Linked DNA regions of Medicago truncatula. The protein of the gene in region 1 binds, or shares a complex with, the protein of each later gene. Links are inferred from orthologs where the notes say so. Each region holds a gene or a part of one and is shown in the gene's direction. Other genes may lie near its edges. The genes, in order: cleavage and polyadenylation specificity factor subunit 1, cleavage and polyadenylation specificity factor subunit 3-I, cleavage and polyadenylation specificity factor subunit 2 and cleavage and polyadenylation specificity factor subunit 3-II.

Region 1 (7,583 bases):
TACATACTACTCAATTTTATTTTTTGTGAAGAATACACACTACTCAAAATAAAAAGGCAGCTGCATTTACATTTAATTACTGTACATTTCCCCACGTTAAGTAATTTATTAGTAACTTCAGAGACGAAAATTCAAATGACCTATATTTGCAGGGACGAAAGATCTATTTAAGCCATTTAAATATAGGGTTAATAGTGCTTTACCCCCCTGTAATATAGGTCATTTCCGGTTTTCCCCCCTGTAAAATATTTTTTTTGAATTTCATCCTTGTAATTTGAAGATTTTTTGGTTTTGGACCTTCATGGAAAATTTCACTCCCTGTAATTTGAGCAAATTTAGGTTTACCCCCTTGTAATTTGAGAAAATTTCGGTTTACCCCCCTGTTAATTTGAGCAAATTTCGGTTTACCCCCTATCATATCTTTGATTTTGTACTGTCAAAATTCATGAAGGTCCAAAACCAAAAATCATCAAATTACAAGGACGAAATCCAAAAAAAATATTTTACAGGGGGTAAAACCGGAAATGACCTATATTACAGGGGGGTAAAACACTATTAACCCTTAAATATAAGCATATGACAATTAGTTTTCAAAGGTCGTTGGATTTTGGTTATTTGAAAAAATCAGCTGAATTTGATTGTAGTTCTAATAGTTGCTTTGCTTCATTGTTCTTGAGAAATGTAATTTTCCTACTTAATATTAGTTGTTGATTAATTTGCAGCTTTGTAGTTACATCTCTAATCTATCGTTATATTTTTAGTTTCCAATTAAGAATATCCTTTGCTTTACATTCTTTTATTAATCTTACATATTTAAGCTTGCTAGTGGTTGGTGGATGAATATTGTCTCACATGAGCTTTACATGTTTTGGTTTTGATGTATGTCATGCTGATAGAATAATTTTATCCTACTTTCACTAGATTTGTTTTCCGTCATCCAGCAATATTAACACTACTTATCTTAATTTTTTTATAACATCATTTTGTGTCATTCCATAGTCAAAGTCATGTTTGTATGTTTTGCATATGAAATCTAAGAATATAAGCATTAATAAACTATATGATGCATGTACATTAAAAATTGTTTGGGAGACACAACTGGAACTTTATTCATGGGCATGAAAGTTCAAATTTCATTGAACTTTCATTCATATATAATTTGTACACATAATCATTGAACTTTAGACAAGCCTTGACAATGTTTATTTTTTGTTCAATTTCATATATTTGGATTTTCAATTTGAAGATTTTGATTTATGTAATATGGTAAAAAAAAATCACATTACTTGAGCATGCAGGTATGGGAATCAGTAGAGCAACTTGAGGCACTCATCATTTAGCAAGACTATTTGTGTGTCTTTTACCAGGGAATAAGAACAACAAAATATTTATTCAGAGTAAGTATTCTAGAGAACGAAGGAAAATGAATTTTGAGAGTATAATAGTTTACTTCAAGGAGATGAGACTTTGAAAATAGAAGAGTATAAAATAGCAGCATCAATTTTTTGGCTAACCATGACCAAAATTTTCTACAGGTTTTCATTTCCAAAATCTCAATGTCCCTTCACCTTTTGTGTTGCAGAAAATTGTGCCTTCTTCATTTTTTGAGTTCATTTCGATGACTCATTGCCTCCAAATATTTGATTTTATCCATTTCATTGAACCATGTTTGTTGATTGTAAGTTACTTTGAAATAAGAGATTATGTACCATTGGTTGGAGTTCCTTTTTTTAAATACGTATTGTGTTTTTATCAACTTTGTTTATCTGCATTTAATGTTGGAAATTTGCAGGGAATTGAGAGGTTTTTGATTGTAAATTTTGTCCATTTGTTGTGTATACATATTTTATGGAACTGGTGTTTATTTTATGCTATTTGTTCAGGGAAATCAGCTTAAAGGAGCTCAAGTAGAGACTAATTATGTCATGCTATTTTTTTGTTGTCAACTAATTAGGTCATTCTATAAGTGGCTTGATGGCATAACTATTCATTGAATTGCCTTTTGACTTAATCTAATTAAAGTATAATGTTGTATATGTGATAAGTTTTTTTTGGAGTTAAGTATATACTCCCTCCGTCCCAAATTATAAGCAAAAAAACAAAAATCACACTTATTAAGAAAACTAAAACATAAGAATTTGGAGTATAGTTTTTTGTGTTTTCTTTGGAAAAAGTTTTATAGGAAGATGTAAAAACAATTTTTATTGGCTATTGGTTATGGAAAAAATGAAAGAAAAAGAAAATTGAATGTAATTTGCATTTAATATTATGAGAATAACAAAAAAAAATATTGGAAAAGATAAAAGTTTGTCTTTTTTGCTTATATTTTGGGACAAAGAAAATGTGTTTTTTTTGCTTATATTATGGGACGGAGGGAGTATGTTATACACGGATATTTAACTACATTTTTTTGGCATCTTTGTAGATTTCCTATGTCAAAGCAAGGATGTTATATGATCAAATCAAATGAACGCAAGGAGAAAATTGTTTGACCATAGATTGTGCTTAATAAGTTCATGCAAGATTCGTTAGCTTCTCAAAGGATTTCTATGTATGGATTTGTTATTAATTGACCCATTTTTTTAACAACTTTTATCATTTTCTACTGTTTTGGGGGGCTTATGTAATTGTGACTGTGCGGTAGTTTTTTTTCCTGGTTTATAAGTTATATGGTCCGCAGTTTTTGTACTGATTCTAACAAGGATGCTGAAATATATGCTTGAAGGAAATTTCATATTCGGAAGTAAAATTGACGACAAAGTTTTTGTACTTATGTTATCTCTGACACATTCTGACGTAAGATTTACTTTTCAGTTTCAACCGAGACGGTTTCTTTTGTTGTTTCATTTGAAATGACTATTAATAAGAACATTTGACATTATCAATTATATGTTGCAGTTTTAAAAGTTACTTCAAAAGAAGAAGATCCTGACAACTCATGAAAACGCCGAATATACTAGATTCTGACAAATAATAAAAATGATGAAGATACTAATATAACTTCAAAAGTAGTCTATAGAGAAATACTTCGTAATTTATGAGTAATTATGTTAATTTATATATTATGAGTAAATATTTCAAACGTGTAATGTAAATTCTCAATGATGTCCTAATATTTTTAAACTTCAATTACCAAATTATTTTTACAATCAACGAATATTCATATTTATTTTCAGATGTTCTACAAATTCATTTGTGTTCTTATTGCTACTAAAATATATTATTATCATTTATCTTTCCTAACGTTACAATACTGAATGCATTATACTACTACTATTAAATTTTAGCTCACAAGACTCGTGCGGCGCACAGGTCATCAATCTAGTTCACTAAAATTAATGAACTTTTACATATTCATCAAATCACATATTTTAACAAAATTGAAAATAACATATTCTTATACTTATCAATCACGAAAATAAAAATAAAAATAAAACCTAAAAAATATCGAAATCAAGAAATTTCATATTCAATATCATAACATATTATTTTCATCTAAATATGTCAAGACAATACACCTTCCTACAACGTTCTAAGACAAAGCGTTCCCACAAGAAGAAGGTGTGGCAGTTTAGACTAAACCAAAATTGATAGGAACAGATGCCATGAACTGCTTGATGATTTAAGAAAATTGTTTTGAGATGAACAATTAAGAGATTGAGTTGTGATTACAACGTGACAGACAACCTTGAGTTTTTCTCTTAGGGTTAGGATTTTCACGCTAATAAAGGCTATTACGGTGAGAGAGAACCTATAAACTTGGTCACCACTTGGACTTTGCCACTCTCCCCCGTAACTAATACTCTTTCTATTTCAAAATACATGTTTAATTTTTACAATGTGCACTATTCATTTGACTTACTTTGACCATACTTTTAAACTAGTTTATAAATACAAATATTATAATGTAAAATGTTATTTGATTTGTCTCGACAAATATTTTCAAAATATTAAATTTTTATAATTTTTTACATTAGATAATTAAAGATATTAACGGTCAAAATTGTGCATTGGCATGTGTGAAGTGGTTGACTTGGACATGTATTTTGAAACAGAAGGAGTAATAATAAGGGTTTTTCTAACCTATGTAACATGACATAAGATAAGGTGTAATAAATGTACCTCTTTTTTCAACAAAAACTATCAAATTAATTATCATTTTCTTGAAAAATGATAAGTAATTTTATTTTCCGTCCATCTCTCTGAAGTATTAACCACTCTATTCATTGTATTTTGTGAAAAACTAAATAGTCATATTCTAAAGGCTAAATTACCTTTTTTGGTCCTTTAACTATTTAATTGGTATCAGATTAGTCCTCTAATTAAAAATTGATTTATTTCGGTCCTCTAAGTTTCTCATCGTTACTACATTTAATCATTTCTGTTAGTTTTATTCAAATAAACGTTAGGGTTTGCGTTATGTGGGTCCTCTAACTTTATTTATTAGTATCATTTTGATCCTATGCCTTGTTAAGATATTATGATTAAATAGTGATTGATATTATTGACAACTATTATTGGTAACTATTATGGTTCATGGATGATAAAAAGGTAATTAAGCTTACAACTACTACACTCGAGAATAGCACAGTGACTAACACACTGAACAAACACCACCCCTCCCGCCAAACTCAAAACCCAAAACCCTAATCCACCCTTCAACCTCACTCTCTCCCCATTCAACCTCAAATCAAACCCCCACTTTTCCAACCCACACCCCCACCATGAGTTTCGCCGCATACAAAATGATGCAACACCCAACCGGAATCGACAACTGCGCTTCCGGTTACTTAACCCACTCCCGCTCCGATTTCACTCCTCGTATCCCTCCTCCTGATTCCGATGACCTTGACGCCTCCGATTGGGCCCCGCAACGCGACGTTGCGACATTTCCGAATCTTGTCGTTACTGCCGCGAATGTGCTTGAGGTTTATGTCGTGAGAATTCAACATGATGTGGCAAAGGGGAAGTTGAATGCGGATTCTAGGGTTCTTGATGGGGTGAATGGTGCCAATCTTGAACTCGTTTGTCATTACAGGTTTTGATTCGATTTTCTGTTTTGATTTTTTGAATGTTGCTCTGATTCGATTTTTCGAATGTGAATTGGTTTGGGAAAAATAAAGTGATTTTGAATGTGAATTTGTTGATGTGTTTCAATATTCTGTCTTCATTTCTTGAATGTGAGTTTGTTACCGATTGGAAAAAAGTGATTTTGATTCTTGATAATTTAGAGATTAGTAAAAAAAGTGATTTTACTACTCAATTTTCTGCTTCAATTTTTTGAATCTGAAAATGAGAATTTGTTAGGATATAGAATATAGTTAGACTAGTTAAGAGTTAATTAGTAGAAATTTGGATTTGAGAATAAGAAATTGTCTGTTTTGAGAATAAGCCTTGTGTTTGTTTGACAGAATGAGAATTATTATAAAATAAAAATCAGTTATTAGAAAATGATTTTTCTGAAAAACTACTAAAATAGTTGAACTTTTAGTTTAGCTTATGAAAAGAGCTTATATGAAAACAATTGAACTTTATTTTAGCTTTTCTGCTTCAATAATTAAATCTGAAAACGAGAACGAGAAATTGTTTTCGTGTTGTGCAAATGGTTTATTTTGGCAGGGTATGCTGGCTATCATGTTGTAGAAAAAAAAAGTGTATGTGGAATTTTAGGGAAGTTTGTTACGGATTATAAAAAAAGTGATTTTGATATACAATTATAAAAAATGATTTTATGGAGGAGCTACGGAAAATAGCTTCTTATTTGGTGTTTCCTGTATCGTGCTATTGGTTGTTTTGTTAGGGTACATTGGCCATCATGTTGTAGAAATATGTGGAATTTCTGTAGTTAGTGGTCATTATATAGCTTTGTTTTGATTAGGCATATGAAATTGAGTACTTCCTCTGTCCGAAGTATAAGCCACGTTAGTTCTTCCTCTGTCCGAAGTATAAGTCCTATTTTGGCTATATTTGGTAAAAAAATAGGGGATAACTTATAAGCTGGCTTACTTGAGCTCTTCTATCTTTACTGGTTTCGCCTCGCTCTTGCTCTGTTTTGATTTTTTGAATCTGTAAATGAGAATGTGCAATTGTTTTGGTGTTTTGTTTTTTGTTTTGGTAGGGTATATTAGCCATTATGTTGTAGAAATATGCATAATTTTAGGGCCGTTTGTTACGGATTATATTTTTTAAATATTTAGAGAATCAAGATTAATTTTTATTGATTTTTTAGTAAAGGAGGAGCTTTCGCCTTACTCTTTCTCTGCTTCGGTTACTATTATTTTGTTTAAAAAGGTGATTTTTTCACAACAAATTTTTTTGTATCAAACCGGCTTTGCTTCTCTGTTGCTTTACTTCGATTTTTCAAATCTGAATTTCTGAACGAGAAATTGTTTTGGTGTGGAAAAATGGATTGTATACCTTTCAAATTTGGTGACTTTAGTGTATTTAGGGAAGAAATGGGTGATTCAATAGAATTATTTGAATGAGAGAATGGTTGGTTAAGAGGGTACATTGGATATCATGCTGTTGAAATGCGTGGAAGTATGATTTTTGACACGTGTTAGACACCTATTATTACGGTGTCCAAATTAAAGTATGATTTTTTCAGCTTGGACATCTTGAGCTGACACCTGCCCTTAGCTTTCTCAGGCACTCGTAACATAGAAAAGAATATATATATATATATTATAAAAAAGTCAAGGAGATGCATTTGTGGAAGAATATATACTAACAATGCATTTGGATTACCATATGAATATTTTCTTGAAGTTGTTAATTTGTTACTTGATTGACCAGAACTAGTGGCTATGTTTTTCTATGATGATCAAGGAGGCTACGGGTTTGAACCCTAGCTTAGATCTTTTACTTTTGGAGACAAACAGCAAAATAATGATGCCTCTTAGAATTTTTTTCACTATAATAGGATTAACTAATTGTTATAAGACAAAGGATTCATCTTCTTGTCTTGATATTATTTTTGTAAGGATATGATTGCTCTTAGTCTTAGTATTCTTTTTGTGAACGTATTAATCTTAATTCACAATTTAGACTTTTGGCATGTTAATTGTTGTTGTTGTTGTTGTTACTATTATTATTATTATTATTATTATTATTATAATTACTTTGAATGGCAAATGTTAGTAATTAGTTTTTTCTCCTTCGTCCTGGTTTGAACCTTAGACCTCCAACTCCTTAACCCTTAGCTCAAACTAGTTGAGCTACCCCCCCACCCCTCTTTATTATTATTATTATTATTATTATTATTGTTGTTGTTGTTGTTGTTGTTGTTGTTGTTGTTGAACGTCAGCTTGATTTTGCAAAAAAATTTTGGTTAAAATTTAAGTGATTTACGTGTGGAAACTTTTATCTCAAAAAGTAAGATTTGACAAAGAGCACTTCTATCCAAATTGATTATTTATGCAATTGAATAACTTCACAAGTGTAAATTGTTGTTTGGACTTCGAAATTTAGCTTGGTATGGTTTTGTTGGTTTCCCTGGTGAATTGAGTGGTTGATTTGGGCATCTATCTCAGTCCTGGTTTTATGCTTGCGATTCAGGTTGCATGGCAATGTTGAAAGTGTGG
Region 2 (7,908 bases), on another chromosome or scaffold:
ATGAGTGACCCGTTGTCAGTTTTGTGCTTTCCTTCCCCTCTTCTATTGCTGTGCTTATGCTTTTATTTCCATCTTCCTTGATCGGTTTTGTACTTCTGAGATAACGGTGTGGGGGTTTCAGATGGCGAGTTTTGCGTAAAGGTTTTCCGAAGGTTGAGTAAGGGTTGTGATAATGGACTCCGAGAAACAGGATAATTTTTAGTAGAGTTAATGGTGTTTTACCCCCCTGTAATATAGGTCATTTTTTGTTTTCCCCCTGTAAAATATTTTTTTTGATTTACCCCCTGTAAAAAAAAAAAAAAATTTGGAATACCCCCCTAATAGGTCATAAAAGAACGAAAAAATTCTGCAAAAAAAAAAAAAGTCGTTTTTTTATGACCTATTATGGGGGTATTCAAAAAAAAAAATTACAGGGGGGTAAATCAAAAAAAATATTTTACAGGGGGGAAACAAAAAATGACCTATATTACAGGGGGGTAAAGCACCATTAACCCTTTTTAGTATGGTCATGATGTTTTTCCAGCTGCCCTAGAAATTGGATTCTCAGTTAATAGTTTTGCGATACCGAAAACTAAGGTACTGAGTAAGCAGGGTTTTCCAACTAATTGTGATTTCACGTTGCTATTTAAAAGGATTTGAGTAAGGGCCTTTTGGGGTTTTCCTTATAATGGGCTTTAGTGGAAAGTTCCTCTTACACTTAATGACGATTTTGTTTAATACAAAAGCACTTGGAGCATCGAACTCAGTCCTTGTAGCAAATAATGTTTACGTTGTATTAATTTTTTTTGTTCATGTATTAATTTTTTCTGATAAATGGTGGAAAGTTCCTCTTATACTTAATGATGATTTTCGTTTCTTATTGTCTGATAAATGGTGTGCGACATGGTCGAATTCTATTCAGGTTGCTGATGACAGTCCGTCATATCACATTTTTGGAGTCTTTTTAATTAAGTTTTTAGTATATTTTATTAGTTTAGTATTTCACTTAGATTCATTTTAAATAAATTATAGTTTTATTTATTAATTGAGTCAATTAGTTTATTTTATTATTATTATAGTTAGTAGTCATAGGAGCAAAGAAATAAAACTTAATTGTGCTTCTATAGATTTTATTTATGTGCCACTTGCCTTTATATCATGGGTTGGTGTGAATAAGCAAACAAGGAGGTGCAGCCACAAATAAGGGGCAATGGATTATTATGCGACAATTGGACTTTGGCAAGAAACCATTTAGCTGATCCGTAAATGAAATGAAGAGGATTAAGGAGCCAAGGAAAAAAGGAAGAAGGTGGCGCTACACAGCAGGAAGGGAGGAATACGTTTTGGAACCAAAGAACAGGTAGCACACTTTCATTTTGATGTAGTATTTTTCTATCAATCAAAAGTAAGTATTGTATATCGTCTCCATAGAGACTAAAACTCATGATGTCTCAACAAATCTTGGGTAGAATCTACTCCTAACACCTTGATTTGTGTTTCTCTCTAGAAATGCCATCTTTCTCTAAAACCCAGAAATCTTCAAAAGTGTGCTACCTGTTCTTTGGTTCCAAAACGTATTCCCCCCTTCCTGTTGTGTAGCGCCACCTTCTTCCTTTTTTCCCTGGCTCCTTAATCCTCTCCATTCCATTTACGGGTCAGCTAAATGGTTTCTTGGCCAAAGTCCAATTGTCAGTTGCCTATCAACGGGGCTTATCTGATCATGTTCCTTTGATGTTAATAACTGAAGAAGCTAATTGGGGACCTCGGCCGCTTCGGATGCTTAAATGTTGGTCGAAATTTCTAGGGTATGGTGATTTTGTCCGAGAAAAATGGGGTTCTTTTCAGTGTCAAGGATGGGGCGGCCATGTATTGAAAGAGAAGCTGAAAATGTTGAAATTTAGTCTGAAGGATTGGCACCAGCAACACGTAAAGAATTTGGACAGCAAGATTATGGCAGTCAAAAATCAGATATCCACTTTAGATTCGAAAGCAGAGTTGTCAGCATTACCTGAAGATGAGTTGAAGGAGCTACATGACTTGTTTGTTAATCTACATTCTATGGAAAAGGTTCAAAATATTATTAATTGGCAAAAATCACGGATGAATTGGTTAAAGGAGGGTGATGCTAACTCAAAAAAAATTCATGGAGTTATGTCCGGTAGGAAACGTCATAATACCATTAACATGGTGTTGGTGGACGGTGCAAATGTTGAAGGTGCGAATAATGTTCGGTCATCTATCATTACTCATTTTTTGACTAATTTCAAATTGCTAAGTGCTCGTTGGCCAGGAGTGGGTGGTCTTCAGTTTCGTCAGTTGTCAGGTGCGGAAGCAGGGTCTCTAATAAAATTGTTTTCACCGGTGGAGGTGAAGCAAGCTATTTGGGATTGTGACAGGTTTAAAAGTTTGGGTCCGGATGGCGTCAGTTTTGATTTTATAAAAGAATTTTGGTTTTAAAACTTTTCTGGTTGAGTGTCCATTGATTGTCGACGGGTTTTATCTTTTCCTTTTGCTTTGCCTTTGCATTTTCCTTCTCCAGAAGCAGCTTCTCCTTCTCCTTTATGTGTTTTTCCTTTTCCTCTTCCTCGGAGGGAATACCAGTGACCCGTTGTCGGTTTTGTGCTTATGCTTTTATTTCCATCTTCATTGACTAGTTTTGTACTTTTGAGATAACGGTGTGGGGGTTTCAGACGACGAGTTTTGCGTAAAGGTTTTCCGACGGTTGAGTAAGGGTTGTGATAATGGACTCCGAGAAACAGGATAATTTTTAGTATGGTTCTAATGTTTTTCCGGCTACCCTAAAAATTGGATTCTCAGTTAATAGTTTTGCGATACCGGGCGAAAACTAAGGTACTGAGTAAGAAGGGTTTTCCAACTAATTGTGATTTCACGCTGCTATTTAAAAGGATTTGAGTAAGGGCCTTTTGGGGTTTTCCGTATAATGGGCTTTAGTGGAAAGTTCCTCTTACACTTAATGATGATTTTGTTTAATACAAAAAGCACTTAGAGCATCGAACTCAGTCCTTGTAGCCAATAATATTTACGTTGTATTATATTCTTTTTTTGTTCATGTATTAATTTTGTCTGATAAATGGTGGAAAGTTACTCTTACACTTAATGACGATTTTCGTTTCTTGTTGTCTGATAAATGGTGTGCGACATGGCCGAATTCTATTCAGGTTGCTGATGATAGTCCGCCATATCACATTTTTGGAGTCTTTTTAATTAAGTTTTTAGTATATTTTATTAGTTTAGTATTTCATTTAGAGTCATTTTAAATAAATTATGATTTTATTTATTAATTGAGTCAATTAGTTTATTTTATTATTATTATTATAGTTAGTAGTCATAGGAGCAAAGAAATAAAACTTAATTGTGCTTCTATAAATTTTATTTATGTGCCACTTGCCTTTAAATCATGGGTTGGTGTGAATAAGCAAACAAGGAGGTGCAGTCACAAATAAGGGGCAATGGATTATTATGTGACAATTGGACTTTGGCAAGAAACCATTTAACTGACCTGTAAATGAAATGAAGAGGATTAAGGAGCGAGGGAAAAAAGGAAGAAGGTGGCTACACAACAGGGGGAATACGTTTTGGAACCAATTATGTGATAATTGTGGTTGATTTCTTTATGCTTGGAATTTAAATGTTCAGTGGAGAAGAATAGTATGTGTGTGGATGTATATATAGTCGTACCTCTTTAGACATATGTTTTGGGTGTTTTTAATTTTTGATGACATCTTTTGATTTCTTCGTGTAGAAAAACTTCATAACTACTTGGGAAATTGAATTTCCAAAATAATCTTTTATGAAATGAGGTTTTTTTACACAACCATTTTCATATAAACAATTATTAGATGACCAAATCTGTGATTCAATATTACCAATATATACGTAGTAGCCTCTTAATTTTTCATGAATATTCGTATGCATTTGATACCTTATTAAAAAATAAATACTCCAATAGCTTGTAGTATTCTTTGCAATTGTAGTATTTAACTTTTCTTTTTCGCTATGTGGGGTGTTAAAAAATCAACTGGGAAAAATGCTTATAATCTTGATTTTTCATAAATATTTTTGTAAACACAATTGAGTTGGGGCAAATTCTATGGTACACCCAATAAATTTGGGTGTATCGGTACACCAAGTCGTAAAATTAATAATAAATTAGTTGTTTTTTGAAGAAAAATAATTATTTTCTATCATTGACAACTAAGATAATTAAATTTTATATACCAAAAATTTCGACGAAATAAAATTTAATTTTTAAGAATTTTTATTACAATATTTTTATATATGGTATTTTTAAGGAATATTAAATTCTCATGCCATGGATGGTATACAATATGCTCCGTTTTCTCAAATCACAAAAGTAATAAATAAACCATCAAATTATTCCTAACGTTGTAGAACACTATTTTATAAGTCTTTAACTTAATGAATATTTTAAAATGATCTCCGACTCTATTAAACTCTCAAACCAGTTCATATATTTAACCATTTACTATCAATTTAATCTCTAAGTTTATCCATTTATTATCAATTTAGTTCCTAACATAATCTTTGAAGGACTAATGTGACTAAAATTTAAAAGATTCAAGAACCTTTTGAAATATTCATAAAGTCAAGAACTTAATTGAGAGCAAATTATAAAATTAAGGAAAATAATACAGGTTTTATTCTTATTTCATGTGGCAACATTAGTTCCAAACTTTATATTAATATTCGAAAGAAGTACATAACATCAAGGACCGCATAGCGCAGTGGATTAGCGCGTCTGACTTCGGATCAGAAGGTCGTGGGTTCGACTCCCACTGTGGTCGCTCGCATAATTTAATTCTTTTTCAACTATCTTTATCTTTTTTAATTTTTGTTGCATCAAACGACGTCGTCTACACTCACCTTTCTTACTCCAAATAGGGTTTATCCAAATCCAAATCAGAATCAAAAATCAAAATGAGTTCAGTAAAGAAACGCGAATCAAACGGTGGTACCATTAACAGAGAAACCGAAGATCAATTGATAGTAACACCATTAGGAGCTGGAAACGAAGTAGGTAGATCATGCGTTTACATGACCTACAAAGGAAAAACCGTTTTATTCGATTGCGGTATTCATCCTGGTTACTCCGGCATGGCGGCGCTTCCTTACTTCGATGAAATCGATCCTTCAACTGTCGACGTTCTTCTCATTACTCATTTTCATTTGGATCACGCCGCTTCTCTTCCTTATTTTCTCGAGAAGACTACTTTCAAAGGGAGAGTTTTCATGACTTACGCTACGAAAGCAATTTATAAGCTTCTTTTGTCTGATTATGTTAAAGTCAGTAAGGTTTCTGTTGATGATATGCTTTATGATGAACAAGATATTAATCGCTCCATGGATAAAATTGAGGTTAGGTTCCTTTGTCCGCTCTTTTTATGATTTAATTATGTTTATGAATTTTGGTTTTGATTTTGAATTTATGGAATATAGGGTTTTATTTTGTTATTATGATAATGTCTATGTTTGGTTATGCGGTGTTAAAATTTTATTTTGAGTGAATTGATTCCGGCTAAAGTTGATTTGAAGGTAAAGTGATTTATGTTTTGATATTTGTATCTTAAGGTGAGTTGAGCAATAAATTTGACTGTATGAATTAGAAGCTACAATTTCTAGCCTCAAGTAGAATCAAATTTGGAGCCAAAGACAATTCTACTTTAGAGGAACCAAACATGTCAAAACCAATTATATACCTCTACAATTTCTACAATTCTGCTTTAATTTTAAAATGCATCTTTTCTTTGGTGGTTATTTGAAATAGTTATTCACCGTAATCATGGATAAATTTGTGAAAGTTAAGCATAGTACTTTACTACATTTTAAAAGTTATCAATAACGAGTAATCATGGTTAATGACTTTTAGGGTAGTGCATATGTGAAAGTAGTTATTGTAATCTCTGTTAAAATACACAAGTAAGATTGTGTATGTTTTGTTTTTTAGCTTCTAATTTTGAATATAAGTATGTGTTAACAGTAGTACTAATTGGTGACTGCAAGTTCCTACTACGAATTACATAGCTAACCAGCTCCTACAAATATAATACATTGATCAATAGAAACGTGTAAAATATATGTGCATGAGTTATGAGATTGGTTTTAAAATTATGTTTAGTCCATCTTATATTATGTAATTTTTCATTATTTTTTTGTATATTAAACAAGTACCTAACCAGAGTGAGTTGTGGTGATGATAGAGTTGCATTTCTAGAGACAGAATCTAAGTGCAAACCTTAAAGAAATACAATTAGTACTGATATTGCTGCGGAGATGTAATGTGTTGCATCAGAATTATTATTAAGTATTGTGAAATGTTTATTCCATGGTGTTTTTCCCCCCAATATATGCAAATATGCAGTGAGATATACAATGTTGCTCCTCAAATTACCTGAATAAAGTACATCTACAATCTAGAAAATGATCATTGTAGAAGAGACAATGACACATATACTTGTAGTTTTTTTGGCGCGGAGATAGGCTTGAATGAGCTGGAAAAAGCTTAAATTATCACAACACAAAATTATTTATTACACATGTGACAATAAAGACATAAACTTTTATGGTTCAATATGTCTTCTCCTGTATAAAGTCCTACAACCTGCAAAAATTTATCTTATGTCTCTTTATTACCATTTCCAGAATTGCAACGGATAAATCAAATGTTCTGCAATTTCTTTCTGTTATTGGTATACTTCTACATGTTTCTAATTATCATGTAGCCCCATCAAGCGAGTGCATTTATGTAACTTTTGTTCATTGTCTGAAAAACCACACAACTGCACAATATCAAGTGTTCAACAATCTATTCCCAAACCAATGCATCATACGCAGTTTTCTTCAATTGCCGTTGAATTTAGGGTTTTATTTTAGTTTTTGAACAATAGTTATTGTAATGTCTGTTTTTTGCTCTTAGTTTGAACATACATGTTAACAGTAGTAGTAATTGGTGACTGCAGGTTATTGATTTCCATCAAACGGTTGAAGTGAACGGTATCAGATTCTGGTGTTACACTGCAGGCCATGTCCTTGGTGCTGCTATGTTTATGGTTGACATTGCTGGTGTTCGAGTGCTGTATACAGGAGACTATTCACGCGAGGAAGACAGACATCTTCGAGCTGCAGAGACCCCACAGTTCTCCCCTGATGTCTGCATTATAGAATCCACCTATGGTGTACAACACCATCAGCCTCGCCACACCCGAGAAAAACGCTTTACTGATGTTATTCATTCGACCATATCTCAAGGGGGCCGTGTGTTGATTCCAGCTTATGCCCTCGGTCGTGCGCAAGAGCTACTGTTGATCCTTGATGAGTATTGGGCAAATCATCCGGAGCTCCAGAATATACCCATCTATTATGCTTCTCCTCTTGCAAAAAAATGTTTGACTGTTTACGAGACTTACACCCTTTCAATGAATGACAGGATTCAGAATGCAAAGTCAAATCCATTTGCCTTTAAGCACATATCAGCTTTGAGTAGCATTGATATTTTTAAAGACGTAGGACCATCTGTTGTGATGGCGAGCCCTGGTGGACTTCAGAGTGGGTTGTCGCGACAATTATTTGATATGTGGTGCTCTGACAAGAAAAATTCTTGTGTTATACCTGGATATGTTGTTGAGGGGACACTGGCAAAAACCATCCTCAATGAACCAAAGGAAGTTACTCTGATGAACGGACTCTCTGCACCTCTCCACATGCAGGTGCACTACATTTCCTTTTCTGCTCATGCTGACTCTGCTCAAACAAGTGCATTCTTGGAAGAGCTCAATCCGCCTAACATAATTCTTGTCCACGGGGCAGCTAATGAGATGGGGAGGCTCAAGCAGAAGCTCATGACTCAGTTTGCTGATCGTAACACCAAGATCCTCACTCCAAAAAACTGCC
Region 3 (7,410 bases), on another chromosome or scaffold:
TAGAGTTAATCTTGCCTTGAGGAATGTTCTACCACCGGATGCCTCAAACTTGTGTGTGTTGTGTAATTTGAAGGAAGAATCGGCCATACATCTTCTCTTGCACTGCGAAGTGGCGTCTAAGGTGTGGCTAAATATTATGTTGTGGTTGGAGGTCTTGTTCTTAATTCCATCTAATTTCTTTGTGCATTGGGAGTGTTGGAGTGTGGGGAAAGAAATAAAAAAGTAACTAAAGGACTATGGTTAATTTGGCACACAACCATGTGGACTTTGTGGAAAGCGAGAAATGACAAAATCTTTAAGGGTATTAGTAGAGTGGTGGATGACATAGTTGAGGAGATTAAGGTTTTGTCTTGGAGATGGATGTTGAATAGGACGAATAACCCGCCATGCCTTTTCTATGAATGGTGTTGGAATCCAAGATATTGTCTTGCTAGATGATAGTTTGGTCCTTGGGTGCGGTGTATTTCGTGAGGTAGAAGCTTTTGGTTTGGGATTCCTATGCAGGTTGGTTTGTGCAGCTTTTGAGGACTTTGGGTGTGTTTCGGTTTTGGATAGTTTTTGCTGTTACTTGTTGGATTTGTCTTCCACGAGTACTGTGAGGCTTGTGTGCAGTTTTGGCTAGTTGGTTTGTGCGGCTGCCACTTTCAATTTTCTGTTTTCATGTTACTTCGGCATCTTGCTGCTGAAGTATATTGATTGGTGAGGCAGGGGTATGCTTGGGTGTCAGTGCTCTTTGGCTTGTCTGCTTGTATAGCTTTGGTGCGGTGCTAGGAGGTCTGTGCGCTACCTGGTTTTGTGGCAGCAGTGCTGTTGTATGTTTTAACAGCTGGGGCGAGACGTATCAGTTGGCTGGTGGTTGTTTGCTTGCCAGGTTTTGGCTGTTATTAGTAGTTTCGGCGGCCTTTGGTGTTGATGCAGGGGTATGCTTGTGGTCTGTCACTTGTATATGCCTGCGTCATTACTCTTGTGGTGTGTTCCTTAGTTTATGGGTGGTTTTTAAAGGGATTTTTGTTCGAGCCGGAGTTTGTATGGCAACTGATTTCCCCTTCTTTGTATTTTTTCTCCACCCGAGCTTATTAGTGCGTCTTGCACGGGCTTGTTGGTTAATAATATTTTGCCGATTCAAAAAAAAAAAACTCTGCAAACACCTCCTTCATTGTTGTTATTTGTTGGAAGTATAAATTCAATGCAGCTTTTTGTTCTTACTTAACTTACCTTAAAAGTTTTAGGGAACATGCAATAGTCTGTCTATGCACATTTGACAACTTTGCCCATGAATATCTCATGGTTCATTGACAGTACACTCAAACTTTTATCAGCAACCTGTGATGTTGCAATGAAGTCAGCGACAATATATAAATTTTCAGAATGAATGGCACCAGTTATTCCAATAAACTCAAATGAGATTTATAAATTGCATTTTCCCCCTTTATCACATTTAGCAGGCACAAACGAGGTAAAACACTTCAAACATTTTGGCTAGATCCAAACTCAAAACATTATTGATGATATGATGCTATTGTATAAATTAAGCATTGTGTCTTAAGAATGGTTTTTGGGATAAAGAAGGGTTATGAGATTCCTATCTAAGCAGAATTGTCTTTGTATGTACAAGGTGGTTACAAGTTGATGAAAAAAGTTTTTTTAAGTGCAATTAATTTGATAGATTTCGCGTAAAACACAGGTTTACCATAGTTTTTTTAATTGAATTTTTTAATAAATTTCATCAAATAGTGAAATTACTGTTGTATATTAGTGACGTTTTATAGATTTCATGAAATTTTAAAAAATCATTTTTACTAAATTTTGTATCTTTTTTTCTTTCTTTCTTCTAAGCAAAGATGTAGGGACGACATCAAGAGGCAACATAAACGTCCAAACTAGGTTGGTACCCAACTAAAACCTCTATTATCTACCACATACTCTATAAATATTATTAAAAAAAAAAGAGAAAATAATATGTACAAGAGGGGGGGCTAGGCCAAGATCCTCAGAAAGAATAAGCGTGCAACCATGAAACTAAGGAAACCGATAGTTCAACAACTTATACGATCACGGAAAAAATCAGCCAACAAAGACGAAGGCATGGAGTCTAACCAAACAGTACCCACAACCGCATGTCCATACTCAACTAATTTATCTGCACAACAGTTTCCCTCACGATAAATTTGAGAGCATATAGCCTGGAGACCCAAATGAAAACAGTTATGCCAATGGTTCCGAAGACGGAAAGGAACAATATCAGCATTCTTAAAGGCCTGAACCGCAGAAGTCGAATCACTTTCTATCCAAATATTGTGCCAAGAATGAGAAGCCACATATTCCAAAGCAAGAATAATACCTATCAGCTTCGCCTAAAAAGCAGACAAATCACCAAGATTGCTTGCAAAATCACCAAGATTTCTATCCAAATATTGTGATATGATATATGATGATGTTTATACAATGATGATATGACAATGTTGTTGATTTTATTTGTCGAGTCATGATGTGATGTTCATGCATTCATGGTCTGTCCTATTTGACGACGAATATTTGACGATGAGTGGATTAATCAGTAATATGCTTATGATTATCCAAATATTTGACGATGAGGTATCACTCAAATACATACCTCTGATATTCAAAAACGGTACCACATGCATATAGAGTCAAGTTAGGGACATTACATGTGAGTCTATGCGAAAGATGTGTACTTGACTATGTGTGACTATTTGAAAAATGTGTGATTCGACAATGGCAATGATGTGTGAATGCAATGTGTTCAACTTGACGATTATTTGATGATGTGATTACATGTTTATAATCTTGTGATGATGATTGAAGTTTGTTATACCGACTTAGTGAATTGTATGAGAACTAATATAATATGAATATACATGTTTATAATCTTGTGATGATGATTGACATTTGCTGCGGGTTGGACGTATAGTTGCTGTGAGTTTTCGAGGATGGCTTTGAAGCATTCTTTTACCGCTTCCTTTTGGAGTCTTGACTAGTGGTGCTCTTATTAGGACTGTTGGGATTTTATTTATGTTATTAGATTATGTTTTGAGGATGTATTTTTCGATGTGACGTGTTATTTACATGATGAACTATGTATGGATTGTAACGAAGAGTAACACCTTGAAGGACAGAATCAGTATAAATTGATTTGTGTCTTTCTTCTCTCTCTGACTCTTTATCTTTAATCTGCATGTTATTTATTTCCGCTGCATTCAGACTCTGAGTCAGAATATGAAACATCAGATTTTGTCCAGATTTGTTCTTAACACCTTACAAGAAGAAACGACTCACACAATTCAACCCACCTTCTTGTGTGTTTTTCTCACCTTCATGATGTAGATGACAATATTGGAAGAAAAAAAAAAGGATAAAAAAATGGAACAATTTTAAACCATCACATGATAAATTTTGGACCATTTTACCCATTGAAATTTTTTTGGTTAAACTGTAAAAAAAATAAAAATTAGGAGGGGACAGTTATATAAATGAAGAAGTTGTTAGATTGGCTCCGTCTACGATGGGAGACTTGAATAGGTCTTCTAATATAGGAGACATGGTTTTTTTCTTCCTTTAAAATGAATATGAACCATATGATAAGGGTTGGATCAAATTCCTTAATATACATTTCCATCACTCAACTGCTTTCTTTTATTTTAAATTAGTGTATTTATCTGACGTTGTTCGGTTTATACTTATAATTAAGGACGACCAAAATTTTGTATGCAACGTATCTGCATATAAATTTACCACGAGCTGGTATAAGACCAATATCTTAATGAGTAAGCACGAATAAAAAAAAAAATTCATATTTTAAGTACTCGTAAATTTATAGATGCACATGCAGATGATATTTATAGAATTTAGTAAAAACAAAAATTGACACATTGGATTTAGTAAAATTATTAACACATGTAAAATAAAATAAATATTTTTTAAGTTCATGGACTCGTATAAATTTATACTCGTTATTAAATTAGTAAAATTATACGACTGCCGTATTACTTAAATAAAAAACTTCTCGTCATGAAATAAAAATATGTAATTTTGTAACAAAACTTATTTTTCTATCTAGCATAAACATCTCAACAATCCACATCGGCTTCGTCCAAATATTTTATATGTTTGTTTTTATTTCATGAGAAGATTTTTATTTTATATAAAATATAAAAATATTTATTTTATTCAATATGTGTTACAAATATTTTAAAGGAATATGTGTAACCAAAAAAAGAGGAATTGTTGTGACAACCACTTTTCACCTCATTTTATTGGATAAAAACAATAGAAAGAAAGAAGAAGAGAAATAATAAAAATATATGTAAATATAAGAAAGATGTTGTTTCAAAAGTTGTCAAAAAAATAGATGTACAAATATTGTTTCTCAATATTTTATCACCAAGTTGAATTCTCTCGGCTCTTTTTCCATCAGAAACGAGCACTGAACTCAAATAGCCGGAGTTGCTTGTAGCCGCCGGCGATCACATCTCTCACGGCCAAGTCCACCGCTCTATATTCATCTCTCACTCACTCAACCTTCATTTTCGTTTTATTCTTCCAATCAAGTAAGTTCATCGATTTTGATTTTGGGTGATTTTTTTCTTTCTCAAATGCAACTTTTGTTGTTGAGTTAATGTGGATTTTTATGCGTTATTTATGCATTGAAAAGATTAGATTTCATCTATTGGCTTAGGATGAATGAATTTTTGCATGCATTTCACTTGTTGCCTTTTAGGTGTTTGATAAATTGTCCTAAGTGGTGTTATGTGAATCTTTGATAGAGTAGACTGAATTTTTTGTAATCTTGTGTGGCTGTGAAGATAAATACACTAGAATAAAAGAAAGTAATTGAGTGTTGAAGATATATAATAAGTATTTTGATCCAACCCTTATCTAAGCAAAGTGAATTCGGTAATGCTGCGGAATAACACATCGGCTGAGTTCATTTTCGCATTGTTACAAGAACTGTCTCATGCTCAAGCTGAGCTATTTGCTTCGGTATTGTGGAGTTTGTGGAAAAGCCGTAACCTACAACTATGGCAGAATGAAGTAGAGACATTGCAGGCCATTGTTGCACGCGCACAGAAGCTGTTGGTCAACTGGCGTGTAGCAAACAGCAAGCGACAGCAAGGTGGAATGACTGGCAGGTCTGCTGATCCGATTACAGATGTGCAGCAGTCAAAATTTGTGTCCAGCAGTGTGCAGATTGGGCAGAATCGATGGCAGAAACCAATCATGGCAGGCTAAAGTGCAACATTGATGCGTCGTTTTCGGAAGCTTTAAATTGTGTAGGATTTGGATTCTGCATCAGGAATGAATTTGGAGAATTTATTCGAGCAAGAACAATGTGGTCGAATCCTGTTTGTCCGTCGGATGTTGGAGAAGCTTTGGGACTTTCATACGCCATCCGTTGGGTGCATGAACTGCAACTCAATAATGTTGATTTTGAATTGGATGCCAAGACGGTTGTAGATTATTTTAATTGAGGTTGCAATGATATATCCGAGTTTGGAGCAATAATTGACGAGTATCGGAGAAATCGTGATATGTATCTAGAAAACTCCATGGTAGAGTTTAGTCGGAGACAAGCGAATGAGGTCGCTCACACTCTTGCACGAGAGGCCACTTTCTTAGCTAGTCCCCATACTTTTAATGATGTACCTCATTGTATTACGACGTTGATTTTTAATCAAAAGCTATAAGCTATTTTCCTTCAAAAAAAAAAAAGTATTTTGATCCAACCCTTATCCAATGGTTCATATTCATTTAAAAAAAATGTCTCCTACAGCCCTACCGTAAACGGAGCCCATTAGATTTCATATAGCCACACCTGATGATTATTGCCCGATTTTTTAAAAATAAAAGAAAAAAATCAAACGACACTGCATACTCTCTTCTTCTCACTCTCTCTTACAACCAGTGTGTCACCACTAGTCACAGCTAATTCTCTCTCAGTTGTCATTATTCACTCTAAGGTAAGCCAATTGATTTTCCAATTTCTTGTTTTAGTGTTTCAAAATTGGGAATTGGAAATGAAATTTTGTTATGACCAAGTTGTTTGTTAGTTAGAATTGGAATTTCGGAATGTTAAAAAATTGATGCTTTTGTTTCATGTAATTGGATTGGATATCAGCTGTTTGTTCAAATGTCTGAATGCATTTTCCTTTTTGCTTCATATCGGTTTTTATGTTATTATTTTGACACACAGAAGAAGGCAGATCATGGGAACATCAGTGCAAGTAACACCACTTTGTGGAGTTTACAATGAAAACCCTCTCTCTTATTTGGTTTCCATTGATTCTTTCAACATCCTCATCGACTGTGGTTGGAATGACCACTTCGACCCTTCACTCCTTCAACCCCTTTCCAGGGTAGCATCAACTATAGATGCTGTTTTACTTTCACATCCTGATACACTTCACCTTGCCGCCTTACCATATGCCATTAAGCATCTTGGACTTTCTGCTCCTGTTTATTCAACTGAGCCTGTTTATAGATTGGGACTTCTCACTATGTATGACCACTTCCTCTCCAGAAAGCAAGTGTCCGACTTTGATCTCTTCACTCTAGATGATATTGATTCTGCTTTCCAAACTGTAACAAGGCTAACATACTCTCAGAATCATCATCTCTCAGGTAACAATAACATAACACCTTCCTCAATTTATTATGTGTTTGTTACCATCAATGACATTCATTTTAACCAATACTAGGAAAGGGAGAGGGAATCGTCATTGCACCACATACTGCTGGACATCTTTTGGGAGGTACGATATGGAAAATTACAAAGGATGGTGAGGATGTCATATATGCTGTTGATTTCAATCATAGGAAAGAAAGGTAAATTATTTTTTTACTTCTCCAAAATTTAACGTGCATATTCTTAACGACAAGAAAGTAAGCTACTTATCAATCTAATTTTCACTAGGCATTTGAACGGAACTGTTCTAGGTTCTTTTGTTCGCCCGGCTGTTCTAATAACCGATGCTTATAATGCTTTGAATAATCAGCCTTACAGACGTCAAAAGGACAAAGAATTTGGAGGTAACTAACATTTAAATCTTATAATTGCTACACCTTGACAGAAATAAGGTGAATTTTTCATTTTTTGTTTTCTTGAGTTGCTATTAAGAGAAAACTGAAATATTTTTATGCCTGGGATATTCAAAGACAAGGCATGCAAGCATTAAAAAGTCTTCATCACGAAACGAGAAAACTGTCTAGACTATATACTTTGTTTTTTCTGATCATATATCTTGTTGATTATTTAGATATCTTAAAGAAGACTCTAAGGGCAGGTGGCAATGTGTTACTACCTGTTGACACTGCTGGACGAATATTGGAACTTATTCTGATGCTGGAATCGGTCAGTACAAGAAAAGACTTACACTTATATTCTCTCTTTCT
Region 4 (6,830 bases), on another chromosome or scaffold:
TACTATGATGTGCAATTTTTTTTTAATAAGACAAACAAACTACAACTTACTAAACAACATCATTGTATCCAAAGTCATAGAGAAAAGATGGAGATTTCAAGTAGAAATAAATGAAACAAAATATACGTGACTAGTGATAAAGACTTCAGGCAATTTTCATAAGCCCACAACTTTGTTTTCCACTATAAATTTTGATTAAACATTTTTCAAAACGAAATTCCTACTTTAAATTCAAGGGTGAGCTGATGCAGTTGCACAATTGCCCTCTTGCGCGCATTTAAAAAAGAAGTTATGTTGCATTTTTGTTTTCATTTTTCTCACATAGAGCATGGATGAGTATCTCGAACGTAATAAGATTCGTCTTGCAACCCTTATTTCCATTTTAGTGAACAAATTTATTGCCTCCTCACACATATTCAGTTTGCACATGCCATTAATCATTATATTATAGGTGATGACATCCATAAAACCTTCTCTCATCAAAATATCATCAAGAACTGATTGCGTATCTTTCAACTTATCAATCTTAAGAAGCCCATTAATTAGGATATTTTGTGTGAATACATCTGCATGAGCCCTCCATTGTTCTTATCAATGTCTTAACATCCTGAATATGCTTATGTTTAAACAAATGATTCACAAAAGAATTATAAGTGTTGACATTAGGGGACAAGGACGAGTAGCATACATCTCTTGTAGAAGCTTTTGAGCACACAATACTCTATGTATCTCTTTATTTTTTCAATGTATCTCTTTATATATTGAAAATAATCATAAGTTTTCAATATTTTATCATATACACTTTTTCATATATGTATATAAAATTTGTTTATGCAGATATAAACATTTAAAATCTGCAAAGAGAGCGGTTTATACATTGAACGGTGTTTTTCATTTAAAGTAGAAATTTAATTAATAGAAACATTGCATTAATGTTGATATTTTGAAAATAGTCACTTGTTTTCAAAATTTTATCATATCAACTATTACATATCGATACATAAATTTTTTCTTGTGCATAAATAAGTATATAAAATCTTCAACGAGTGCAATTTAAATATTAACGGTGTTTTTCAATATTTAATGGTGTTTTAAATATAAAATATATATTTTCTTAATAAATACACTACATTAATATTGATATTTTGAAAATAGTGATAAGTTTCCAAAGTCTTATCAAATTGACTTTCTTATATGTGTATATAAAACTTTGTTTATGCATATATAAGTACAAAAAATCTGCAACGGGTGCGATGCAAATATTGAATAATCTTTTGCATATAAATAAAAAGTTATTTAATAGAAACACTGCATTAATTTTGATTTTGAAAATAGTAATGAGTTTTTCAAAATTTTATCATGTAAACTTTTTCATATATTTACATAAAAAATTGTTTTTTTGTATATATAAGCAAATAAAATTCATAATTGGTGTGACTCAACTATTTAACAAATTTTTGTATATATAAGAAAAAATATTTAAAAGAAACATTACATCAATACCTATGATTTTCTTTTAATATCTATAAACATTCTACAATATTCACAATCTAATTATTTTTCGTATAATTATCGCATTCGCACGGGTCATTTACTAGTTGATTAATGTGCTCGTGAGCTTAACTATGTTGGTAACTTTTCCACCCTAAATCAACAACACACTGGATACTAAAAAGTGAAAACCCACATATCGTCAAAACACCTGCGATGGAATCTTCAAACATACTTTCTTTCTCCTTGTGTCCACCTCTCTGACGACGATGCATTCACACTATATACACCGCATCACATAAATTTTTAAAGGATTTTTTATTGTTGTTTGAGGTAAGTTCCGACGGCAACGTCGTTGTTGTCAAACTCAGCAAATTCCGGTTAGAAATCGCCTCTCTCAGACCTGTTGGTTTCCACTATGGTTCAATCCCCGTTCCGACAATTAATCTTTCGGCTTTTCAGTCCTCTCTTCTCCCTCTCAATAATCGATTCACTTGTCTCTGATTCAAATGAATTCTAGGCTAATTGTTTCGTGAATGCAATATTCAACAAAGATTGACATTGGTAAAGGTGGTTGTGTGTTGTGCCGCGACTGAGGTAGCCTGAGATGCAGTGTTGAGTTTTCACTTTTCAAACCGTGTATCTTCACCATTGATTTGATCGGATGACTATCTTTTCATTGACTTTGTGACTACAGTAAATCACAATTGCAACTAAACGCCTATTTGAATGGTCCCCTTGAACGCAACTTTTGAACGAGTTAAGGAAAAAGAAGTAAGTGCATGTAATATAGCTCACTCATTGCACTACTTCTTCTGCAAGTGTTGTGCAACCATTACATCATCAATGAAAATCAAAACTCTAGTTTTAGGTATATATTTTCCGTCGTTCATTTTATGCTACAATCGAATCTCTTTTACGGTTATCAATTTCAACCAAATATGCAGGCGCTGGCCAAGAAGTTGGAAAAAGCTGTGTAATTAAGTTATATATTATTCCTTAAAAAAAAAAAAAAGAAGTTATATATTATATTAGCTAACAAATAACTTTAAAAAAAGAAAAAAAACTAACAAAATTACTTTTCTGCTTTAAGTTAATTAAACTTTTAAACATATTGTGTTTGGAGACTGATTCCCTCAAAGTTGTCAATGCTTTCAATAAAGGTTTTGGAGTCCCTTGGCAGATGCGAGCTAGGTGGCAAAATTGCTGGGATTTTTGTCATAACATTTCTTGTTCTGTGTTCATATCCTTAGGGAGGGAAACATGGTGGCTGATGCACTTGCTAAGCATGGACAAGGACTTTCTCTATACTACTACACACAGTTGTGGCCTTCTCCACCTCCTTTCATATCCCACCTTCTGTTAAGAGATAGGCTTGGATTACCTTACACTAGATTAGATGTGACCTGAGATTTTCTGTTTGTTTCTGAGTTCTGAGATTGTTTTTTGTTTTGTTTGAATTGGTTTGTATGCGGTTCAGGCTTCTCCTGACTTTTATTTGAATTTCTAGCGTTATCAAAAAAAAAAAAAATTGTCCTATGTCTCCTGACTATTATTATATCTAAACTAAGAATATATTCCAAATTTCCGTCTTCCCTAACCTTGAGAAGGGTATGCGCTGAAACACCATCGACAGTGGAGCACTAGCACAGCCAAGTAGAAAAATCAAATCTTTGCTTTTATATTATATAAATTTTCAATGGTTTTTAGTATACATTTTAATTTTCTTTCTCCTCTTCTTTGAATTTTAACTTTCAAAGTTTGAACTGGGTTTGAAAGAGTAAAGTGAGAAATTAAGACAAACCATGCTTGATCTTTTCTTTATATTAGAGAATCAATTGTGGCCAGAAGCCAGAAGCTACAAGGAGTAGCTTTTCTTAGAATCGATTTTAGGATGGAGAATCGATTTTAGATATGGGTAACCAAACATTACTTTAACCATCAAAAGCACTTTAAACCACTGTAAACGTACGTTTAGTCCATCGGAACGTGGAACCAAACACGTACTTATTGGTATAGTGTCCATAAAAATTGAGTTTGAAAGAATTAATTTTGGTTAAAAGTGAGTTGAATGTGAATTGATTTATATTTGAATATACTATTTTAAAAGTGATTCTTATGAGTTCATTTAATTTGGATAGTTTGACTCAAATTATCCTTTTTATTATATATAAAACTAAATATCTCTTTCTTATTTTAGATAATTATTTAAACTTATCTAAAATCATAATTGGATTTTTATTGCTTCACAAATTTATTTTAAAATAATATTAATTTACATGAGTCTTTGTTTTAAGAAGAAATATGTTTGTGTAGATTCACGTTTTCTTCTATCCAAAATATCACAGCAAAAACGAGACTCACGTTTAGAGAAGAAAACGCAGGTTTGGAGGTTGAATACTTTTTGAAGAGAGTGCATATAGCTCACTGCACTACTTCTTCTCCTGCAAGTGCTGTGCAACCATTACATCATCAATGACAATCGAAGTTCTAGTTTTAGGTATATATTTTCCTTCCTTGCTTCATTCTATATGCTACAATCGAATCATTTTACAGTTATCAGTTTCAACTAACGTGTGCAGGTGCTGGTCAAGAAGTTGGAAAAAGCTGTGTAATAGTTAAAATCAATGGAAAGAGAATCATGTTCGATTGTGGCATGCATATGCGTCACACTGATCACAGTCGTTATCCGGATTTCAAAAAGATTTCAGATTCTGGAAATTTCAATGATGCTCTTGACTGCATTATCATCACTCATTTGTAAATTCATCATTCATTTGTTCATTTATTTTTTTTAATGTATAGTTTTTTTTAATTATTTTTTGACGTTGTTGTTATTGATGTTGGTGCAGTCACTTGGATCATGTTGGAGCATTGGCTTACTTCACTGAAGTTTGTGGGTATAGTGGACCGGTTTATATGACGGTGGGTCGCCTATTACCTGTTTGATGAAATGTCTAACTCAATGTAATGCTATGAACACTCTCTTTTCAATGCTTGCTCTAATACTCTCTTTTATTCGATGAAATCAATATAAGACCCACCATTTTATGCGGCTCCCATGTCTTAAGTGTGAGACCCACATTGATTTCACCTGATAAAATAGTGAGCGTTGGAAAGAGAGTGTTCCCGACACTTCTCGTTTGACACTATATGATGTGTTGTTGATTTATTTTTATTATTATTTTTGGTTGATATGTTTTTGATAAGTAAAATGCTTTTTTGTACTAAAAGTTCTTAGATGTTACTCAACTTGGGCCATGTTTGGATAAACAACTTAATTAATCATTTAAGTGTTTAGGTATAAGCTATTTTTATAGCAAAAGATAAAATCAAATCAAATTGTTTTTATATAAACTACAAATTGGTTTCAAGCTATCATGTAGAGCTTAGGAAAATAGTTTATGGATATGTCATAAGTTGTTTCCATAAGCTCTATCAAATAAAATAATCACAGCAGTGCTTTTGTTGTGGATAAACTCAAATAAGCTAATCCAGGCATGCCCTTGGTGGAATGCATGTACTGTTATGCAATCTTTGTTTTTGATTTCAAGTTAGTTGCTAATTACTTATTTTTTTATTTTTATTTTTTTTGTAAATAATATTGTTGTTTACTAATTGTCATGAAAGTAAGACTTTGTTCTTTGTATGTTTTGATGATTGTGTGAAAGGAGATGTTAAAATTAACAAAATAATCCCTTATTAGTGTCTTGTAATTATTTGTATTAGTAAAATCAAATATAATGGAAATGAAAACAGAAAATAAACTAAATGTAGCCTTTGTTGGACATTTTTGGCATGAGAAAAGAATGCGAAACCTTTATGCAATGTTTCCTGAACGTGCGGCTTTGGATCGAAAAAAGTAAAAAGTAATGCTAAGTTTAACAGGTTAAAGAAACCCTTAAATTAATTAAATAGGAAAGTATCTCGTAGAGAAGGGTATTCTTGATTAAATTTCAAACTTATCCAAGGAAGGAAATAACGGGCAGAAAAACGTTGGTGGTTAATTGTGGTTGTTGTTGTACTTTAACATTTGTTGGATGATTTCAACTACATATGCATATAATCATGTTATAATTTTTGCTTGATGGACGCCGTTCCAGTCATTGCTTATGGTGCTTTGAATGTCTAAGCACTGTCTCTTTGGCTGTGATTCCACGATAATAAATTTAGCTTGACTTGTATTTGATTTTAAGCAGTACCCAACAAAAGCTTTGTCTCCTCTGATGTTGGAAGATTATCGAAAAGTGATGGTTGATCGTCGGGGTGAGGAAGAACAATTCACTTCTGATCATATTGCTGAGTGCATGAAGAAAGGTAAAATAGGATTCTCTTTTCCTTTGCAGTATCTATATGTTGGTTTGAGTTAGATAAGACATGTTACCTAGGAATGCAAGATACATGATGTATACTGTGGCTGGCATAGTTGCTTATGACCATGTTTAAGTTAGAATTCTATGTAGCTACTGTGCACAAGGATTTTAATGTAGGATAAATATTATTTTTCTGGTCTATAAATGTCATTTCAGTTTTTTTTCTTCTTCGTAATTGTTTATGTCGGGAGAGAGAAACTAGGATTACACGGTTTACATTTTTGTGTGAATTTTAAAGAAGATTCTGCTATGCTCAATCAGTAGTTTGGTGTGTGTTTTAAACTTTTGAACACATCAGTTTCCCACCCAAAATCACCACACCTCTGACATTAGCATCTCAATTTTATATCTTGATTATACTTGTTCTAATTTGATTTGATTCCTGTAAACAGTTATTGCCGTAGATTTGAAGCAGACTGTGCAAGTAGATGAAGACCTGCAGATACGTGCATATTATGCAGGACATGTAAGGCTTGTGAACTTCATCAATGAACTCGTATTTCCTTTGCAGTAATAGATTTAACACCTGGTATTTTGGTTATTTTCTCACCATAGGAGTTCTTGTGAGTATTAGATGCTGAAAAAATTGTCAAATCAGAAACCATACATCACATAAACAGAATGCGATGAAAGAGTCTTGTTGAAAGTCTGGAAGGGGTAGGATTCTCAGAGTTCTAACTGAACGTGTCGAGTATCATTCAAGATTAGGGTTTAAACTTTAAATAGTTTAGATAGCAGAAGAAAAATAGCAATGCAAACTAGTCCTGAACATTTATTTCCCGATTTAGTCCAGTTGGGAGATCTTTTGATTTTGCACCTGCAAATACCATAACTGCTGAAGAGAACTTGGTTCTCTGAAACTCCTATCTGCAAGGTTCGGGTAAGTGTTGGACACATTATGTGGGTATATACGAGGCCATCTTACCTTGTATTTGCAAGAGGTTAATCCATTAGGTGAACTTATTC

Evidence for each region.
Region 2: cleavage and polyadenylation specificity factor subunit 1 (region 1) and cleavage and polyadenylation specificity factor subunit 3-I share a complex: the UniProt entries of both Arabidopsis thaliana proteins name them as parts of the CPSF complex. The link is inferred for Medicago truncatula from reciprocal best matches to the Arabidopsis thaliana genes CPSF160 and CPSF73-I.
Region 3: cleavage and polyadenylation specificity factor subunit 1 (region 1) and cleavage and polyadenylation specificity factor subunit 2 share a complex: the UniProt entries of both Arabidopsis thaliana proteins name them as parts of the CPSF complex. The link is inferred for Medicago truncatula from reciprocal best matches to the Arabidopsis thaliana genes CPSF160 and CPSF100.
Region 4: cleavage and polyadenylation specificity factor subunit 1 (region 1) and cleavage and polyadenylation specificity factor subunit 3-II share a complex: the UniProt entries of both Arabidopsis thaliana proteins name them as parts of the CPSF complex. The link is inferred for Medicago truncatula from reciprocal best matches to the Arabidopsis thaliana genes CPSF160 and CPSF73-II.

Annotation. Positions count from the first base shown.
Region 1 is NC_053047.1:30,463,861-30,471,443, forward strand, and holds the start of cleavage and polyadenylation specificity factor subunit 1, read left to right. Parts: upstream 1-4,569; 5' UTR 4,570-4,724; coding exon 4,725-5,038; intron 5,039-7,557; coding exon 7,558-7,583. UniProt on the Arabidopsis thaliana protein: CPSF plays a key role in pre-mRNA 3'-end formation, recognizing the AAUAAA signal sequence and interacting with poly(A)polymerase and other factors to bring about cleavage and poly(A) addition.
Region 2 is NC_053043.1:495,040-502,947, reverse strand, and holds the start of cleavage and polyadenylation specificity factor subunit 3-I, read left to right. Parts: upstream 1-4,892; 5' UTR 4,893-4,938; coding exon 4,939-5,376; intron 5,377-6,977; coding exon 6,978-7,908. UniProt on the Arabidopsis thaliana protein: Component of the cleavage and polyadenylation specificity factor (CPSF) complex that play a key role in pre-mRNA 3'-end formation, recognizing the AAUAAA signal sequence and interacting with poly(A) polymerase and other factors to bring about cleavage and poly(A) addition.
Region 3 is NC_053042.1:20,056,168-20,063,577, forward strand, and holds the start of cleavage and polyadenylation specificity factor subunit 2, read left to right. Parts: upstream 1-4,388; 5' UTR 4,389-4,568; intron 4,569-6,211; 5' UTR 6,212-6,224; coding exon 6,225-6,639; intron 6,640-6,716; coding exon 6,717-6,843; intron 6,844-6,931; coding exon 6,932-7,047; intron 7,048-7,274; coding exon 7,275-7,369; intron 7,370-7,410. UniProt on the Arabidopsis thaliana protein: CPSF plays a key role in pre-mRNA 3'-end formation, recognizing the AAUAAA signal sequence and interacting with poly(A)polymerase and other factors to bring about cleavage and poly(A) addition. Required for antisense-RNA-mediated gene silencing.
Region 4 is NC_053042.1:11,552,153-11,558,982, reverse strand, and holds the start of cleavage and polyadenylation specificity factor subunit 3-II, read left to right. Parts: upstream 1-3,808; 5' UTR 3,809-3,966; coding exon 3,967-3,991; intron 3,992-4,054; exon of another isoform or gene 4,055-4,073; coding exon 4,074-4,251; intron 4,252-4,343; coding exon 4,344-4,416; intron 4,417-5,690; coding exon 5,691-5,808; intron 5,809-6,256; coding exon 6,257-6,330; intron 6,331-6,830. UniProt on the Arabidopsis thaliana protein: Component of the cleavage and polyadenylation specificity factor (CPSF) complex that play a key role in pre-mRNA 3'-end formation, recognizing the AAUAAA signal sequence and interacting with poly(A) polymerase and other factors to bring about cleavage and poly(A) addition.